Neurospora crassa OR74A: one gene and its partner. The protein of the gene in region 2 interacts with the protein of the main gene of each other region in a pairwise test. Links are inferred from orthologs where the notes say so. Each region holds a gene or a part of one and is shown on either strand. Other genes may lie near its edges.

Region 1 (6,542 bases), on a different chromosome or scaffold from region 2:
CCATCAGACGACAGATCCGCCCGGGATAGCGGGGCAATACGGGGTGCCCTGAGCCAACGGCACAAGCCGTTCCTACAACTACTGTTTCTGTGACAGATCAGCAGATACCTTTTTCCCTGGACACAGGGCAAGAATTCCCGCTCCTGATAAGCTTGGAATCATGCTCACAGGTTCGACATCCGCGCCTCCGGTACGGTCTTTGGTACTGTCGCCGCGAGACAGTTCGGAGCTCTTGTCGCCAACAGGCCCCTTGACTCCAGCATCGACCAAGGGTGCGGGTACAAGTGCCCTCTCCTCCAAGATCGCCAGCGTCTTGTCTACCTCGTATGCCGACACCGAGTTCCGTGAGGCCCTTTTCTTGCTTGATGAACGAGGGCTTCAGAACGTAGCAGAGAACCGTCGCAAGCTTCGATTGGATCTCCAGAAAGAAGTCATCGACAGCAATGGAGAGATCATTCATGAATTCGGCAAAGTCGCCGAGGTATGTGTTGTTGTTCATACCACTCGAGTCCTGATCACAGGCGAGTGAGCCGCACACTGATACACTTTTAGCAACTCAAACGCATCGGCTACACCATCGGCAAGCTCAACGAAAGCTATAATGATATGAGAACACAGATCCATGCAGCTCACGCATCCACCGCATCCACCTTGGGCGAAGCCTCGCAACTCATGACGCAGAAGCGGCAGATCGAAAGCAAGCAAAAGTTGCTCTCGACCTTCAAGACCCACTTCATTCTCACACAGGACGAAGTTGACGCCTTGACCTTGACCTCGGAGCCTGTAGACGACCTCTTTTTCACAGTCCTCGCCAAGGCCAAAAAGATCAGCCGTGACTGCGAGGTTCTCTTGGGCTTTGAGGATCAGACGCTAGGGCTGGGCATCATGGAGCAGGTCACACGGAACTTGAATCACGGGTTCCAGAAGCTTTACCGATGGATCCAGAGGGAGTTTAAATCGCTGAATCTTGAGAACCCCCAAATTGGCTCGGCCATCCGTCGAGCTCTCCGCGTCCTGGCCGAGAGACCTACCCTTTTCCAAAACTGTTTAGATTTCTTCGCCGAAGCCCGCGAGCACGTCCTTTCCGAGGCTTTCTACACTGCCTTGACAGGCAGCTCGGCTGCTGGACTGGAGGACCCTTCGGTTAAGCCCATTGAGCTAGTAGCACATGACCCCTTGAGATATGTGGGGGACATGCTCGCCTGGTCTCACTCGGCCGCAGTGGGCGAAAGAGAGGCACTCGAAGTCTTGTTCATATCCGAGGGTGACGAGATCGCCAAAGGCATCCAGGTGGGCAGAGAGGCTGAAGTCTGGCGGCTCGTGGCCGAGGATGGGGAGGAAATGAATATCTTCGATCCTGTCGTGGCCCTGAACCAACTAGTAGATAGAGACATGTCTGGTGCAGTCCGCATATTGCGACAGAGGGTCGAACAGGTTATTCAGACGAACGAGGAGACCATTCTGGCCTTCAAACTTGCGAACCTCATCAACTTTTATAAGAGCACCTTCTCCAGGTTGGTGGGCCCGGCGTCGATTCTCGTTGAAGCGATGGGTACCCTCGAAACGGAAGCATTGCGCCAATTCCGATCTCTGGCTCGGGACCACGTCGCCACTCTCCAAACTGAGTTCCAGCACACTCCACCAGACCTTCGGCCTCCCGACTTCCTTACGGATGCGTTGGAACAGCTATCGGCAATCATGAAAACGTACGAAACGTCACTAAGCTCATCGGGTGATGATCCAGAAGCAGAGTTCGCGTCCATCATGGCTGAGGCATTCGACCCATTCATGGCTGGCTGCATCAATATGGCCAACCATGCCACCCCGCCGTCCAAATCCATCTTCCTGATCAACTGCTTCGTGGCTGCGCGGACAACGCTCTCCGGCTTCACTTTTGTTCGCAAATATGCTGCAGATATACAGACCAAAATTGAGGAGGAAAAGGCTCGGTTGGTTATTGCACAGTACGAGCTGTTTAGGGCCGAGTCCGGTTTAGATTCCCTCATTGAAGCGCTGGATGGGCTAGACATACGGAAGAAGGATGATGTTGGAAAGGTTGCGACACTAGAGGAGGTTCAACCTGAAGCACTGCGACAGTCAAGTCAGAAGCTGGACGATTTCTTGCCATCGGCGCTGATTGATGCAACGGAAAAGCTCAAGAATCTGCAGGATTCCAAGCTGGCGAGCAGTGTGATTGAGGAGGCAGCCGAAAGATTCTGCGTGGATTTTGAACATGTGGAGGAGATGTTGCTGTCGGCTGACGAATTGGAGGAGCAAAGGAGAGTTGAGGAGGACGGCGACGAAGAACATTCCCAAAGTTTTCGGGCGCTGTTCCCAAGGACATCGAGCGAGATCCGCGTGCTATTGTCGTAGCGTGAGCGAAACGGCGAAGGCAGGAGAAGCCAGCTATGGTTTTTACTGACGGGACCCAGGTCTGCCATGTTCTCGTCAAAATAGTTTCAATCTCATATAAATCTCACCATAGTGGACTGCTGGGTAAGGTAAACCTTGGGAAGTAGCGGGAGCCGAGAACCCCGGTCGAGTGTGTACGTGTACACTGGTGTGGTCGTCGGCGTATGACTGAAAAACGGCCCTCAAGTAGTGACAAACTTGGGTACCTTTACAGGGAAATACAAGACTGACAGCACTCTTGCATGCGATGAGACTGAGCTTGAATCCCGACAGCCCTGTGAGTCCCCTCAAGCGCGGAGCCGCGGACGAGGAGGATCTGGAAGCTGCTGAATACCTATTGGGCGGTGCGGGGCATCCCATTCGGCCGTCCCGATTTCCGATGCCCAAGAATAGGTACATATCGCATATCAACGTCATTTTCGGGCCGCGCCTGACGGGATGCTGATGGTCCCGATGGAAGCTCAGATGAACGATACAAGTCGTGCTATCGGCCTCCCCCTCAGGTTGGGCCTGTTCGTTACTATCCAGAGGCCAAAAGGTAACAAACAGGTGGAACGGGCCAAGGCAGACAAACAGACGAAAAAGGCGAGAAAGGCCTGGTCTGGGTACCTGCCACTGTCGGGCTGCCAGGTCCCCGCCTTCCCGCCCCAATTGCCCCACTACGTCTTCAGCTAGGGAGCTAGTAGGTCCCATTCAGGCGGTTGCAACAACGTTCATAAGGCAACATCGATAACTACACTTAAACAAAGATACCATCGATCCTATATGTAGGTCTACTGGTGTGCAAGCTTAGATCCTGGATACCTACCTGGTATACAAAACCTTGATACTAACCTCAAGACACTCAATTAGTTGGCACGTCTTGGTCGCGAATCAACCACGCACATTGATTGCGTCAACGTCCCGTTGCACCGCCAATACGTCTCCTCTCCGGATTCCGGTTGGCCTACAGAAGCGCGCTGGTACCTCTACGCCTCAAGAAACGTGGACCTGAGCCTTCCTTGGGGGCCCTTCGTTAGACCTGTTCTTCCATTCGGCAACTGCCTTCGGGACGTTTTGCGACCGCCCGATTTTCCAACATCCTTCGCAACGGCGATGCCGTCTGTGCGCGTAGAGCTGTAGGGTACAGGCCGATCCACAGCATCTGCTGAGATCCTGTTCTTGACCGGACACTCCCGTCTACCTAGGCCGCCCTTGGAGAGCGAAAGTCCGCTACGCCCTTTTGAAAAGTGCACACAGACATTCCGTGATGTGTATACGTCTTACTTCTTACGATGCTGCGCAACAGATCAGCCGCTTCAGTTTTGCAAAAGACATATGATGAAAGCTACCTGACATGCTCCACTGCTGTCTATTACGAAGGCCAGGTCAGTATGACGTTCTGTGATCGTCACCCTTTTCTCCCATCTGTCAGTAACCAAGTGCTAATCTTGCGCGGTCATCTAGGGCAATGAGGATGAGGCTATGCGATGCTGGAAACAGGCACTCGAGCAAATCTATGACCAGCAAGCAAACAAAATCTTGCCAGCCTTCACCCCACGTTCCGAGACGGAGAAGGCGCTGGTGGACAGTCTTCGGCAACTCGAGGTACAGTGCAAGGAACGAATTGATCTTCTAGAGGCCCTGCGTCTTTCGCGCCTCGAATCTCTCGAGCATGACGCTACACCATCCGCGTCACGTTTGTCACCGTTGCCGAACCTTTTAGAACCCCCCAAGGGCTGGATAGGTGACGGAACAATCCCAGCCGTAACCTATACAGACCTTTCCCGACCAACTCCCGCCAAGCGACCCTTTGTAGGGTCTAGGTCCATCTCAGAACATACCATGCCTACACCTGGGCCTTCTGCCGAGGTGCGTACGCCAGGCGGGGAGTTTCCCTTTGCATGCACACGACCAGTGTTACCGTCACCACCGTCGGCGTCAAGGCCTTCGCTCGAGGAGGGAACATCGTCAGGGACACGCAGCCCCGAGAAGCATACCATGCGCACAACCCTGCGGACCGGACGTTTGGGAGACAAGAGAACTAGCCATCGCCAGACACCTCCAACCTCGGTTTCAGAACGCCCTGGTGCCAGTAAGGCAGCCTCGCTTGCCTGGAGCTATCTTGGGAAAAGAGAAAGATCGAGTCCGTCAGGGAGTGCCAGCGGTAATAGTGGGGGAATTGGCACCACTGATCAGACGAGTTCGGTACCGCCCGCAACCTCTCCCTACTTAGTGGAAAGGCGACGTCAAAGTCCAGCGTTGGCAGGCCGGCAGCAGCAATGGGACACGCATACCAGGCGACTGGTCATGGGTCGTCCTCGGAGCCAATCCAAACCGCCTCATGCACGGCCTACTCCGGAATCATCGGCACCCCGCCGTTCTGATGAGCATACACACACTCGCCAATCCTCCTTCACCATCAGCGCTGCTGCCGCATCAAGTGCACTCAACGCATTGACTTTGAGGGATAACAACGAGCGCTCGCCGTTGGAAGGGGGGGAAGGACTTCGGCTAAGAACAGCTCCGCTACAGACACCAAGGAGGAGGCCTCTGCCTGCGACGGGGAACACAGATGAGGAAGACACTGCATACTCTGCGAAAGGAAGCGCAACAACGACCAGAAAATCGAACAGAAAGATGTCCGATCCAACGCTGGCCCAACGGAAGCCCATCAGCCGAACTTCTTACCTAACAAGCACGGCAAGGCCTGCGTCGGGCAGATCGGCAACGACACAGGATGTTGATACACCTCGGATGAGCGCTAAGGCAAGGGGCAAAAAGCTTGAACAAGTCCCAATTTCGTCAAGTTCTGAGGATTCTGAATATGGAACTCCCCGACGGCCGACAACAAGACAGCACCTAAGACAGATACTGAAGCAGAGGGATGTTTCCCTGGTTGCCGATACACCGGCCCACAACTCCGAAAGTCAAGAATCTGAAGGCAACGATGGGGCGGCTCAACAAAGGTCAGAAGCTGCCAAGTGGAACAAGCAAAAGGCAAAGATATTGCGCCGTCTTCCTCCAGGGGTTGATGAACATGCTGCAAAACAGATTCTAAACGAAATCGTCGTTCAGGGTGATGAAGTTCACTGGAATGACATAGCCGGCCTCGAGGTAGCCAAAAATGCACTTCGGGAGACCGTAGTTTATCCTTTTCTCCGACCGGACCTATTTAGGGGTCTTCGCGAGCCGGCCAGAGGCATGCTGCTTTTTGGGCCACCGGGAACAGGAAAGACTATGTTGGCGCGCGCAGTGGCCACGGAGTCCAAATCTACCTTCTTCTCCATCTCTGCTAGTAGTCTGACAAGTAAGTACCTCGGCGAATCAGAGAAACTTGTTAGGGCACTGTTTACGCTGGCAAAGGTATTGTCGCCGAGCATCATTTTTGTTGATGAGATTGACTCGCTGCTGTCGCAGAGATCTGGCTCTGGGGAACACGAGGCCACGATGAGGATTAAGACGGAGTTCCTCATTCAATGGAGTGATCTTCAGAGAGCTGCTGCCGGCAAAGAACCTGCAGCAACAGGAACAAAGGAAAACGGCACCGATGATGATGTGAACAGAGTCTTGGTGCTTGCCGCCACGAATCTCCCGTGGGCTATCGACGAGGCTGCAAGACGACGATTCGTGAGGAGACAGTATATCCCACTTCCCGAAGCTGATACAAGAGCAATTCAGTTCAAAACGCTCCTCAGTCAGCAAAAGCATACACTGACCAACGAGGATATCAATGAGCTTGTGGATATGACCGATGGTAAGTGGCGCTACCCGTTCGTGAATGTTTCGCCAGCCAATTAACTCCCTGGCCGGGCTGCCCGCCAGGTACCTTTTGCTAAGCACGTGCACCTCGCAGGATTTTCCGGATCCGATATCACAGCGTTAGCTAAAGATGCGGCCATGGGTCCTTTGCGGTCTTTAGGTGAAGCGTTACTACAAACGACCATGGACCAAATACGCCCAATAGAGCTAAAGGATTTCGTCACCAGTCTGGCTACCATTCGGCCTAGCGTTAGCAAGGCAAACCTGAAGTTTTATGAAGATTGGGCAAGAGATTTCGGAGAAAGAGGCGGTTAGTGAGGGAGTAGGCCACGAGGCGACGAATCAGAGTAAGGTACTCAGGCTGTCAGGGAATGGGTAATGTCTGGGTC
Region 2 (6,542 bases):
AAACCAAGAGGTCACAGATAACAACGTAGATAGCCAAGAGGTGGAACACCAAGAAGTCTTAGAGTAGGAAGTCAAAGACCGGGAGGTTGAAGATCAGGAAACTCAAAAGCCATGAAACTGAAAAGCCAAGCGCCTTGGAGAATGATACCAAGCCAACACGAAGAACCTGGCCGGAGCGTTAAGGAGGGCCGGTTGGATTTGGAGGGTTGGAGTCGAGTGTTCCTCAAAATAGTCCCCAAAACTCTGTACTTTAACCTGCCCAGTAGTCTTCAAGCAATAATAGAAGCATTTTCATTGCACTGGAATGAGACAATCTCCGAACCGGCCAGAATAGTTTCAGTTTAGAGCCTGCTTGGCTTTGGAATGCCACCCCCCCCCCCCCCCCCCCCCCCCCAACTGGTAAGGACACTCACAACTACAGCCTCGACTGGACATCTGGCCTTCTCCTCCGTTTGACTAATTACGAATACGCTAACATTATTGTTCAATCATCATCATCTGTCCTCGATAAAGTCTGGGGTATCGCTACTGTATACACTAGAACCTTGATCCATTCCATCCTGAGAACACCTCACATTCATCATCAATACAGCCACAAGGAAGAATCACATTTGCTCAGGCACTTGCTTCATGCATATGCTTCCCATTCCGTGTGCCTCGAACTGAAAATCAGTCCATTCAGATGAGGACTTTGTAATCCGTCAGAATGTATGTATGTACAGTAGTACTTTTCCCCAACCTTCCCACGACATGCGTTCATTGCCTCCCAGTGGATCACCGTTTTTGTTGTTTTCTCTTTCGCTAAAGCCGTTTCTTCATAACGACCACACAGTAACTGACATACATCTTCTCTCCTTGTATCATTCACACCATGCACCGAGCTTGATTGTGCGCAGAATCCGATATCTGGAGAGAGCAGCAGCAATAGAACAGTAATGATAAATTCCGTGCCGAACCGTGGGGGGGGGTAAACAATGAGAAACCGCAACCTAACCATACCTTTGAGGCCCTCTGCACGGAGGAACATGAAATAAAGAGATACCTCTACGCCTCTCTCCCTGATTTCCCTTGACACCTGGCGCCACCGCAAAGAAAAGTTTGAGCGTGTAAATAAGGAGCAGTGCAAAACAAAAACCTGCCATGCCGGAAAGATGAAGGAAAAACAAAAGCCAGCCCGTCGGCGCGGACCAGGTGATTAACCCTCGCCGTGTTTCCTAGAGCCGGTTCCCTGTGCATCAAGCAGGTAATAGGATGCTTTTTTTTTTGAGAGAGAGAATAGGAAAATTGGACGAACGCGGTCTCCATTGGGTTCAGAGACAAAAGGCATACCGTCATCTATAACTTCATGATATGTCGTCAAGCGCTAGCGAGATCCAACCGCATCGTAGCCTCTTTTGAGAACATTGTATGGGCCAGAACCCAAATGCTAGCCCGTGAACGCAGCTGCACCCAAACAAGCTTAAGGCAGCTGGTCAACGGGGCGGTCCTTGAGCTTGTCAAGTGGGATCTCGGCGTCAACAACGCCATAGAGAACAGCGTTCTTCTTGGCCCACTGCCGAGTAAGGATGGAGGCTGAGAAGATGTCAGAATAAGATTACGAGACAAGCAAGGCCGGTTGTTTGACATACCTTTGAGGAACTTCTTGCTGCCATACTTCTTGAAGAATGCTTCATGAATAACGGGACGGGCCAGATAGTCAACCATGAGATGGAATACAGGCTCGATCTCCTCCTCGGTATAGCCAGCATAGTAGGCGATAGTCTTGTCCTGTTATTATGAGTATTAGCCACAGGATGATATGGCGAGTATTATAAATCCATCTGTATAACTTACCCATTCTCCGCGGCCAAGGATCAATCGTGCCAAGTACATAGCAGCAGCAGCGACATGGCTGGGACGGTAAGGCATGAAGCGATGGTCCAGCAAGCTGATCTCCATCAGGTACTTGCCAAGGGTACGGGATTGAATATCGTAGTTGTCTGCCTTGGAGATGCGGCGGAGAAAGTTCATAGGGTTGGGGTAGCTAAGGTCGTAGTTGAGGGTCGATAGAATGAAACGCTCAGCACTGAGGATCTCAGCTTCAGTAAAGCCGTCATCTGCAACGTGGCGAAAGTTGGCAATATGGGGGGAGAGGACCTCCTCGTACTTGGAGGCAACAAACATTGCAGTGATACCCACGAGCTGAAGACGATCGAGCTGGACGACCTTTTCGCTCAAAAAACGATCGATGATGTTAACGGCAAGGAACAGCGTCTCGGGCAGCAGATGAAACCGAGTATGAACTTCAATGAGCCAGTCGATGAGAATGCCACGAGTCTTCCACTCGAGGTCGTCCTGGTGGCTCATGTACTGAGGGTTCGGCACTGATTTGCACTCGAGGTCGCGGAGGTACTCGAAAATTTCCGTCGCATACTCGGCAACCATAAGAGGATCCTCGAGGTCTTCAGTGTCAAGGTCCTTAACACCTGGCGGATACACTGACTGAACAGGGACGACATCGCGGACGACGGGAGCGGGGGGCTCGGCCATCGGCTTCACAGCCTTGGAGGGAGCATCGTTCTCCTTGGCCTCAGTCCTGGAAACCTTCTTCTTCTCGGGCTCTTCGACGTGGATCTTCTTGCGGGCCGGTTCATTTTCAACAGGTGCTGATTCCTTGATAGGGGCGAGCTTGGATGTGGACGGAGGAGGCTTGCGCTTGGCGGGAATGGTGCCAGCACCAGCACTGGGGCCGACCGTCTTGTTGGGCTCTTTGTTGGATAACGCACGGCGGGCAGTAGTCGCAGTACGGCTCGTAGCAGTTGTGGTCTTCTTCTGGATGCCACTCGGCTGGGCCGCCTTCGAAACTAGGCCGGGCTTCGCAATCGCTTTCTTCGTTCCCGCAACTTCAACCTTGGTGACATTGCTGACGTCGCCCAGTGCATTCCGCTTACCGACAGTGCGAGCGGCAGTGGCGGCGGTGGTTGTCGAAATCGTCGTCTTTTTGGTCTGCATGGTTTTCGCGGGCATGGACAATTCGTCGACATGGAGAGTGGCCGCCTTGGCCCTCGTCATACGTGTCGTGGTTGCTGTACTGTTCTCGTCATTTTCGTTCGCGAGTGAACGCGGGTTCCTCGTCCGCTGCAGGGTTGGGGTTGAGTTAGTACAAACATAGCATGGCTGTGGACAACCAATTGCATGATTGAACGACAATGCCAACTGTGCAGTAAAACTTACAAGATTCGGCATTCTCGCCTAAACCTATGCTGGCACAGAAATTGATGTGAAATGTGTCTACTGACGGGGAGGTCAGCTAGCTATTTGGATGTTTCGTTTTTGGCGAAGTTCGAGGTGGAGAGACTGGTTCTTATTGAAAGACCGATCCCTGTCACGGAGGGAGGGTTGACGCGAACGACGAGCGAACGACGAGGGAATTGTGAACACGGACAGTCAATGAGACTAGACGCACCGACTACAGAGCCCAAAGATGTCGGGAAGAATGAACACCGGCGGTCGGCAGTGATGTCGCTGTCGGCACGTTGTTGAAGCCGGAGATCAACCCTGGGTCCCGCAACAGAAGGTTGGCTGAGACCGTGAAGGATGTGCTGTTGTTGATCGGGAATGTTGCCCAATTGGTGACGACGGTCGGGGCAAAGCACGCAATGGCGACGTCCGGAAAGATTGACTGATCGAGGCCAAGGGTTGCCGTCGTGATGGCAAGGCCTTGCGAGTCCAGGTGATGCGGAGTGGGAATGCTAGTTGGCGGACGGGAAAGGGAGGTATGATGTTTACGAGGCAGAGAAGAATGGGAGTCTTGTTTTTGCGAGGTCTTGGTGGAGGTGCCAGTGCCAGTGCAGCCCAGTGGATGGGGCTGGAGTGCCAGTGGACGGAGCGGGCGTGTGGACACCCACCCAGGTACCGGATCGGACGTGCTGGGACTGGGGCAAAGTACCTCTAGTGCCCTTCGAGGTCACTAGTGCAGCGAGGCTTTGAAGCTTTGAAGTCCAAGACACCGGAAAGGGAACAAAATTACCACAACAAGTGATGACGCGCCGTGCAATATGGGCTTCTGTCAGACGCACGTCTTGCTGTTCCCTGCCTTGCTAAGTTGTCGAATGATGAGGATGCCGTTGTCGAATAAGCAAGTCGAAAAGGTTGTACTGCCGAAGAAATGCAGGCTTCAATGGCCGGAGTCGAAAGTTGCTGTTGTTGCTGTAGCTGAAAGTCGATTGTCGTGCGTCCAGGGAAATGGTTGTTAGTCGGATGGTGAGTGTCGAGTTGCAGAATCCGGAGTCGAGAAAGCGGCCAGGAAATTGTACTTGGGCCGGGCGCTGTTATGGAGCACTGCAAGCAGAAGGGACAAAGAAGGGTCGCACCTCAAACACGCAGTGAAGGAACTGAAGGCGGCAAGGCCACCACAGGCCACGTCCCTCCCTTGCTGTCATCCGCCCGCCGTCAGGGCAACACTGGCAACCGCAGGGCAATTCGGTCAAATCAGCTTCTGATTGGTTTAAACTGTCCAACAGGCTGCGCGTGTCCAGCAGCTGTCAACACTAAGGTACCTTACCTATCCTGGGTCAGACGCGACTGGAACCTTGGGCGGGCAGGAATGGAGCACGATGCACGCTCTTTCCCCGCGCCGCACTGCACCTTCACGCGGTGATGACTTGGTGCCTTCCTCCCGCGCCCGCGTTTTGGAGCGCTGTTTGCAGCACTTGTCCCCTGGAAAGAAACAAGGCTCTTCACCAAAGGGCAGTGGCTGCACCACACAAGCCACACTATTAGCAGCCACAATCGTCAGGGATCGCAAACCAATGCACGGCTGTGATTGGCGCATCAGCCGAGCAATTTTCCACAAGCAGTTATCGACGACAAGCCGGCGACGAGAACCTCGACGAGCAGCCTGCGAGGACGTCGCATTCCGGTTGCTGGAAATCGCAGCAACTGTCCCCTCCAGCACCCTCACCTCCCCAGAGCTCACCGCCAGGAGCTTGGGATATCCGACAGCGATCGAGCAGCCATGCTGCAGCCTCAATTCCGACCCCTCCTTGCGGGGACAGCTTCCTTTGCCCAAACCGTGCTGGGCCGCACCGTCGCCAGATGCTATGCCACCAAGGCCGCCACACAATCAGCAAGCAGCACCAGCACCAGCAACACCAGCAAAGATGCCAAAGCCAAGATCGTCACTCCCTACGTCCGGGACGCCGGCATGATGAGAACCTACAAGCCGCACACGCCCGGTATCCGTCACTTGAAGCGCCCGATCAACGACCACCTGTGGAAGGGCCGGCCGTATCTTCCTCTTACCTTTCCCAAGAAGGGTCAATCTAAGGGTGGCCGTAATCACAGTGGTCGCGTCACCGTCAGACATCGCGGTGGTGGTCACAAGCGAAGAATCCGCATGGTCGACTTTGAACGATGGATCCCCGGTCCGCACACAGTCCTGCGCATTGAGTACGATCCCGGTCGCAGCGCGCACATTGCGCTGGTGAAGGAAGAGGCCACAGGGAGGAAGAGCTATATTGTTGCGGCGGATGGTATGAGGGCTGGAGACGTTGTGCAGAGCTACCGGTCCGGTCTTCCCCAGGACCTGCTCGATTCTATGGGTGGTGTCGTTGATCCTGGTATTCTGGCTGCGAGGACATGCTGGAGAGGCAACTGCTTGCCTGTGTCCATGATTCCGGTTGGAACCCAGATCTATTGCGTTGGCTCCCGTCCGGATGGCAAGGCTGTTTTCTGCCGCAGTGCCGGAACATATGCAACCATTATTTCCAAAGAGGAGGAGACCCGTGAGGATGGTACAAAGGTTATGACGGGCAAGTTCGTCAACGTAAGACTGCAGAGCGGAGAAATCAGAAGGGTCAGCAAGGACGCTTGCGCCACCGTTGGTATTGCCAGCAACATTATGCATCACTACAGACAACTGGGCAAGGCCGGTAGAAGCCGTTGGCTCAACATTAGGCCTACTGTGAGAGGTTTGGCGATGAACGCAAGTGAGTAGACTCCCAGAACAATCCGTTTGTCAAGCGAGCAAAACCAACTAACGGCCTGGTAGATGACCATCCTCACGGTGGTGGTCGTGGTAAGTCGAAGGGTAATAGGCACCCTGTTTCTCCTTGGGGTACACCTGTAAGTCATGCCCCTTTATTTCCTTCCTTCCTCTGAACAGACGCCTTACCCTCTTTTTCTGTAGGCCAAAGGTGGTTACAAGACTCGCAGAAAGTCCAACGTCAACAAGTGGGTGGTTACCCCCCGGGTCCGCAACATGGGAGTCCGGAGGAACAAGAAGACTACATGAATAAAATAACCCACTGTGCTCAACTTGGGCTATATACCCACCATCTTGTACAATATGTAGTGAAACTTATTCATTTGCTCGCAGGCCGGCAGTTCGAGGGCTCAGTATATCACCGGAAGGATGCCATGTGTGGGTATTGGGCCCAATAACATCGTCTGTTGGAGATCTGCCGTGTTTGTCTTTGTTTTCCACTTTCAACTGAGCAACTCTACGGCGATGTGGTTCAGGGCCCGGCCAAGGCCGTGACTGTGCCTATAAATCGGCATAC

The links.
Region 1: the proteins of NCU02758 (region 2) and NCU02420 interact in a two-hybrid assay, tested with the Schizosaccharomyces pombe proteins (2 studies listed by BioGRID). The link is inferred for Neurospora crassa OR74A from reciprocal best matches to the Schizosaccharomyces pombe genes cdc13 and spg4.

Annotation. Positions count from the first base shown.
Region 1 is NC_026507.1:2,553,110-2,559,651, forward strand, and holds the start of NCU02420 (AAA family ATPase), read left to right. Parts: upstream 1-2,915; 5' UTR 2,916-3,179; intron 3,180-3,188; exon of another isoform or gene 3,189-3,264; 5' UTR 3,265-3,686; coding exon 3,687-3,779; intron 3,780-3,858; coding exon 3,859-6,148; intron 6,149-6,247; coding exon 6,248-6,468; 3' UTR 6,469-6,542. Other genes in the region: NCU02421 (hypothetical protein), read left to right, coding at 161-481, 553-2,373.
Region 2 is NC_026501.1:3,456,018-3,462,559, reverse strand, and holds NCU02758 (G2/mitotic-specific cyclin-B), read right to left. Parts: upstream 3,594-6,542; 5' UTR 3,226-3,593; coding exon 3,214-3,225; intron 3,118-3,213; coding exon 1,834-3,117; intron 1,768-1,833; coding exon 1,629-1,767; intron 1,573-1,628; coding exon 1,460-1,572; 3' UTR 1,272-1,459; downstream 1-1,271. Other genes in the region: NCU16375 (hypothetical protein), read right to left, coding at 629-1,027; NCU02757 (mitochondrial 54S ribosomal protein RML2), read left to right, coding at 4,997-5,969, 6,032-6,105, 6,170-6,274.